Drosophila melanogaster: one gene and its partner. The protein of the gene in region 1 interacts with the protein of each later gene in a pairwise test. Each region holds a gene or a part of one and is shown on either strand. Other genes may lie near its edges. The genes, in order: mRpS26 and Ser8.

Region 1 (3,525 bases):
GTAGTGGAAACATGATCAACTTGGGACCCATTCAAGCCAAACTAAAGGCCACTCCAGATTGGGTGCACCTTTTCCAGCAGCAGGATGCGGCATCCAAGCGAACGAATCCAGTACCGGGCACGTAGCACCCACTTCCCCATGGTAGATATGTAATATAGTAAATAGGCTGCGCCTAAGCTTAAGTTATTCCTATTCTAAATGCCGTATATAAAAGTTAAATATAGAAATTTTTATAATACAAATGCTTTTCAAAAGGTTATTAACAATTGTACTCGAATATGGAACATAAAAGAGACTCCAAGAAAGATGGGCTTGGAACTTGGGGATATGTAACGTAAATTAAGCCATCAATACTTAATGCAATGACCCAAGATTAATTTTTAGGTTAATGGATTGTTGATATATTATATGTTCAAATTAAGTGATTATTATAATTTCAAATACGGTCTTAAAATTTGAAAAGTATTCTAGTTCTAGCAAATCGCTTTACAATAGCTAGGTTATCCAATTCCTATTCTTTTGCGCAAATCAAATATACTTAAGTGTGTTGTTTATTGTGCAGAAAAATAAAAAAAAACACGGACTTTCAACTTTGGTTAGAAACCTATAAAAAGCATTTTAATGTAACAACAAACTAAGACACTGCATTAATTAATTACTCAAAACTTGCTGGTTGGGTTCGGGAGTGGCGTCCGGGAGCTGAGAGGTGCTTCGTCCGTGGTAAAGATTACCGGCCATATCGATGGCGAAATTGTGGTCCACGGGATTGGCCAACGCTGTCTCAATGGCTGCATCCAAGTTTTCCCTAGTGATATAGTTCTTGGAACGCTCAATCTCGAGCAGCACCCGCTGGTTGGCCTGCTCCTTGCGCTCCTCCTCGCGCAGCTGTTGTGCCTCCAATCGCTCCTGAATATAGGCCACCTTTTCCTCACGCTTCTTGGCCAATCGCTGATCACGCTCCTTGGCTATGGCAGCGTTCCAGGCAGCATTGGCATCCAGGCATTTCTGGAACTCGGCCTCCTCCTGCTCGGGAGTGAGCACGATGTGATCTGCTGTGGATGTTTCCTCGTGGCGGACGACTTCCTCCCTTAGAAACTGACGCACTGAGCGAAGCTGCGTTCTGAAATCAAGGCGTAGATTGTTTTGTATAACGTCTTTTGAAACCGATTACAAATTATCTTTGACCAGAGACAGAATCTGGCGCTGGTGCACGCACTTGTACTGGTTGTGTAGCCTCATGAGCTCCGTGCGCTCCTCCTCCGACTGCTTCTTGCGTTCAGGCACGCGGAACATCTTGCTCTTGGCCACCGGCAGCCATCGCGGTTTCCTGCGCCAGCGGACGAACTCGAGGGCGAAACTATTTCCGACCGTCTTCCCGGTGGGCAGGGTGGACTGCGTCAGCAGCTGGCATCCCGCTCGCAGCATTATAAAAGCAGTTTAATTAACAAAATGTAATTTTTACTTTGCCGCTGCTGAACTGTTGTGCAACTCTGTTGTCGGTGAACTGGTTCCGCGCAGTTCGATTGCTGGTTCCGTCAGTGATGACCAATATGGAAAATCGAAGAATCAAGGAATAAATCAATCTTAACAAATCAAATTCAGATAGAAAGGCAATAGTAATTTGGTTGTCAACTTACTAAATTTATTGTCGTACATATTCATATTAAAATATAATTATATACTCAGCTACATAGATATATTTTTAGGTACAGCTTAATTTTGCGTTGCTAACAAGTTTTTGCAATTAAATTGCGCAGGTTATGAATGTTTTTTATTTGTCCAAAGATACAAGCTTTGAAGTCCAGACAGATCTGTTGTGAAAATAGCCAAACTTCCAACGCACTAGTGCGTTTCTCACAATTGCGCTGCGCTCAGCTCGGGCTTAAAAGCTTTTGGCCAGGTGAACTTGACGGGAAGGTACGAAAAGTAACTGCTCACTCAGTCGACGATATATCGCCGCGCTGGCCGCATTAAAATCCGAGCTACGGAACTTCGCTGTTTCGCCTCTTGTACGTGGGCTAACTTAAAACAAAAGTGGCTTGCGCAGCCGGCGCGCCTTGAAAGTGTGTGTGTGTTCGTGTTTAAAAAAATAGTGTGCGTTATTGAAAAGCTAAGTCAGTTAGAAGCAGTGTGGAAAGTGCATATTGTATATATCTCTTGCCAAGGCTAAAAGTGTTAAAAGTTAACTCCCAGAAATGCACACACGCATACCGATGCAAGCGAAAAGTTAAAGCGACGATCATTCATTACTGCGTCTTCTTCTTATTCATCTGCTCTTTGCGACGTGTTTCGCTTACCTGTCCAAAAAGCCCGAGTATTGGTGGGCTCCACAGCTCCATAGCTCCCTCTCTCTCTCGCTCTCTTTCGATTTGCACATGCAAAAAGGCAGCAGCAGCAAGAACAACAACAAAAACTCCATCTGAGAGCTTTAAAGCCGAAGTTCTCGACGCAGACGTCGGCGGGAGCAGAGCTTCAGCAGCGCAGCGGCAGCGAACAACTCGTACAGGTTTGTTGGCATTTTTTTTCACATTGGCTTTTGATTTTTGTTTACCTCTGATTGGAATGGCAATTCGCACTGGTTGGACTGTAAATATTGTCTCATATGTGTGTCTCATGTATCCCAACCGCTTACCACGCACAGAATCGAATCGAATCGAATTGGATCGCTTCGTAGCTGGAAATTCTTATAAGGCGATCAATTTTGCATATCGAATTTGTTCAATTGCTTGAACTGCACGAAACAGGGGTTCTATTGTTCTCTTTTAATTAAATAACTAAAATGGGTAATGTAGACTTTCCTTTTTAAAACTTAGTGCCTTAAAATGCCACATCTTCTTTTCTTATAATTTAATTAGTGTACCTTAACTGTACGATTAAAAGTTTACTGCTCTCTAATCGTTGGAATGTTTATCTTATGCAACTTTTTCAATCTGTTTACTTTCACATTCTCCAGCATTTAAGATAAGATTTTATATCTAAAAACGTGATTTAAACAAGATTAATACAGAAAGAATGCAAAGTTGTTGGATGATAACGACAATGTACTAATCTAATTCCCTTTATTTCAATATAAATACTTAATATTCCCAACTATTTAGGTTAGCTTCTGTGATAGTTTGAAATTACCTATCAAATTGTGAGCTTAACTTATTTAAGCCAGTAAATTCCCGCTACACAACTTATTTTCCCACCAACATAACCTCGTTTGGCTTATCAACAACGCTCATTAAAAATTCCGAAAAAGAGTTGCAACTTCGGGGCACTGCACCACGCGACGCAGAAGTCAAAAGTCTTGCCTTGAACGCCTGAGCAAGTGCAAAATCTGCTTGCTAATTTATTTGCCCATCTCCAACCTGAGGTCTTTGAAAATCTAAACACAAAAATGTGTAGGAAAATAATTATGCCAGCAGCAGCAACAACATCAGCAAGTAAAACAGTTTAAATGACTTTCAGTCACGGCAGCTCAGCAGGTGTTGGCTAAAAGGGGGAAATCTGGGGAATGGGCGCTGACTTCAACTTAAATAT
Region 2 (3,551 bases), on another chromosome or scaffold:
GTTAACAGATCTAATAGAATTGCTATTTGGTAAAACTCGCATTTTGGCAGCTACACAAACATGGCCCATTAGCTCAGTTGGTTAGAGCGTCGTGCTAATAACGCGAAGGTCGCGGGTTCGATCCCCTCATGGGCCAGAATAATTTTTTTTTTATTACATTTCTAATGCACTTTGAAAATTAAAAAGTTAGTATAGATTTGATGAGAACGTGTCCCGCAAGCTTTTTGTACAAACCTAGATAAGCGAAGCCCAATTATGGACGGCTGCTAATGTTATCTCATGCCGTGCATGCTAGGACAGTGAGTATCCTGCGATGATGTCACATAAAGCCGACAAGGATGATCTAACGTGGTCTATTTCTCGCAAGGCGGCTGAGTGAAATGTCAATTCAATTTACCATCAAGGATGATTGAATTTCCCGTCCCTTTAGCCGACCAACTTCTCCGCGTGTGAGGTATCTTAATTTGCTTTGGCAATCAAGCTAAACGGTTTATTGAACGATCTTATCTTCGCAACGAGTTGAAAATGCTTTTAGACAATATAATGGCAAACAGAGAACATCCTAATTTATTGGTTCAACGCCCCATTTTGTATATACTTTTATGACACTAGATTTTGGGCGTTTGCGGAATCAAGTGTCAGGATGGCCGAGCGGTCTAAGGCGCCAGACTCAAGATTGAAAATCTTACTTTCTGAACGAAAGTGTTTGTGAATGAGCGTTCTGGTCCTCTTTGAGGGCGTGGGTTCGAATCCCACTTCTGACAAATATTTTTTTAAGCCCACAGAAATTAGCAATGATTTGACAAACAATGCAAAATTAATAAATAATCAAATATATATTTGCGTATACTTTTGAAAGATCTCTCTTTTGGGTTCACCTATATAAATACGTGACCAATAAATAAAATGGTAACAAATACATTTGCCATTGTATTAAATTAATATATAAATTCGTGACATATTTTTAGCAGGAAAACGAAAAACGAAAAACGAAAACTATCGTAGTAGCATTGAAACATATAGTGTCAAATTTAGTTCTTATCAATCCCTGAATCCAGATTTCAGTCAGGTTAAAAAAGTTGTATATTTTTATATCAATATAAGCCATGTCGGAAGAGCAGCCATCGAGCTCGTTGCTCAAGCCCATTCTAATCATGAAGGATATCGAATTGGACGGAGCAGGTGATGGCATCGGTAAGGAGTCCTCGAAGACAAAGAAGCATGTAACCTTCAACCGGATGGTGGAGTATTATACCTACTCGGAAACTTTGACCAGCTGGAAGAGGCGCCTTATGTCCGACAACGACTTGGTAGGTACTGAAACACCACAGACATGAATTCCCCATTGATACGGTCTGTGGGCTTTTCAGCGCCAGAGCATGCCGACCGAGTCGAAAACTTGCTTTACAAAGCACTAGGCCAATTTATGACTCCGGCCCACCCACATTGCCCATATTGAAGAACCAATACTGAACAGGAACGAAACGCTGGCGGAAGTTGTTAAACTGAACGTGACACTTTTAACCTAATTGGCAAATAAACGAGAGCCCGAGTCCTGCCAGCGAAGCGGATGTGGACTTGTCCGTTGTTTTTAATGCATTTTCCGTGTCCTGCGATGGGGAACGAAGTCGAGCAAATGACCAATGAGTTATTCATGATTTGTACCTACATTTCTATATTTTTTGTTCGTATATTAAAAGCATAAGCTAGTGCAGAGTGGTTACGTCTATTTTGGCCTTCATGCTCATTCAAAGCACGTAAGTGGTCATGCAATTTACAACGCTTTTTGCGCACCGAACGGAAGAAGTAATCTGTATTTGAAATATTTACAATTGGTAAGGCCCAGTCAATAGCTGGAGAGAACAGAGAATGGATTATAGCCAGATTAAGACGTCAAAACAAGCATTCCTACGATAAGTCTAAGCCCAGCAACTGACCTATCCCACCTATCTCACGGCTAACTAATCAATAACCAGTCGGTAATTAAAAGCACCCATATTCTCCTGCCAGCACCTGGAGACAATTGCCGGATGATGGGCCTTTTGGGTAATCAGCGATTGATACGAATGAAATATGGCCGTGTCATTTGACAACCTTATCCGCACGCGGGCAATGCCCAATCTGTGGCTATAAAAGGCCACCCATCGCAGTTAGTTAGCCATCCAAGGTTGAACCGCAAACATGTCCCTACTAATAGCAACTTTCTTAGCCCTGCTGGCCCTCACGAATGGCGCAGTCATTCCCATTGGCCTGGAACCACAAACATCATCGCTAGGTGGCCGGATTGTTGGAGGCACAGCCTCTTCCATTGAGGATCGTCCCTGGCAGGTTTCTCTGCAGCGTTCCGGAAGTCATTTCTGCGGTGGATCCATCATCAGCAACAACATCATCGTGACCGCCGCCCATTGCCTGGACACTCCGACCACGGTCTCCAATCTCCGGATAAGGGCTGGCTCCAATAAGCGAACCTATGGTGGCGTTCTCGTCGAGGTGGCTGCCATCAAGGCACATGAGGCATACAACTCCAACAGCAAGATTAACGACATTGGAGTGGTGCGTCTGAAGACTAAGCTGACCTTTGGCTCGACCATCAAGGCCATTACGATGGCCAGTGCGACGCCGGCTCACGGATCAGCAGCTAGCATCTCAGGCTGGGGCAAGACCTCCACCGATGGCCCCTCGTCAGCGACGCTGCTCTTTGTGGACACGAGAATTGTGGGCCGTTCGCAGTGTGGCAGTTCCACTTACGGATATGGTTCCTTCATCAAAGCAACCATGATCTGTGCAGCGGCGACGAACAAGGATGCATGCCAGGGTGATTCTGGTGGACCTCTGGTATCCGGAGGCCAACTGGTGGGCGTCGTCTCCTGGGGACGAGATTGCGCCGTCGCCAATTATCCCGGCGTGTATGCCAACATTGCCGAACTGAGAGATTGGGTCCTTCAGGCCCAGAAGACTGTCTAGCTTTAGTTAAGCACAATAAAATCGCACTCATAGTACGTATAGTTAAACTGCAGCTGGCAGGGCTTTTATTTCAACTGCTGCTTCCGCTCATTTACTGCTCAACAGCAGTGACTTCTGAATCCAGTCCCCAGAGCCATACATGCGGCAGCAGGACGTGCCCTTCCTGTGGGCCACGCCGCTCGTTTGGCTCATGCAATCTGGGTCAGTCCACAGGGGTTGGCTGCCGGGTGGGGCCTTCAATTCTGGCGGGGCACAGGGGCGGCAAGCCCATGGTAAGCCAGTTACAGCGTTTGCATACTAAAGTCGGGTGACATATCTGTGACATGGCTGCGAATGACATGTAAAATCTCTGTCTATTCCATTTACACGCTTTTGTATTACTAAAAATTAAAGTTATGTATGCCATTTATTTAAATATTCAAATTTTTTTAGTTCATTTGCTGGAACATTTTTTTTTTGCTAATGGTTTAACTTCCTCACTGATAGTTTAGTTTGAAATTCCTTTGAGTTCCCGTTTATGCACTGCATGTGCACTTAAAATTTGCTATCTCTATTGTTTCTAATCGGTTTAAGCGTTTTACAACTTT

The links.
Region 2: the proteins of mRpS26 (region 1) and Ser8 interact in a two-hybrid assay, tested with the Drosophila melanogaster proteins (one large-scale study listed by BioGRID).

The regions. Positions count from the first base shown.
Region 1 is NT_037436.4:18,104,562-18,108,086, reverse strand, and holds mRpS26 (mitochondrial ribosomal protein S26), read right to left. Parts: upstream 1,509-3,525; 5' UTR 1,426-1,508; coding exon 1,217-1,425; intron 1,121-1,216; coding exon 652-1,120; 3' UTR 588-651; downstream 1-587. Other genes in the region: Polr3D (RNA polymerase III subunit D), read left to right, coding at 1-125.
Region 2 is NT_033778.4:13,432,031-13,435,581, forward strand, and holds Ser8 (Ser8), read left to right. Parts: upstream 1-2,176; 5' UTR 2,177-2,181; coding exon 2,182-2,964; 3' UTR 2,965-3,015; downstream 3,016-3,551. Other genes in the region: CG30065 (uncharacterized protein), read left to right, coding at 1,107-1,310, 1,371-1,418.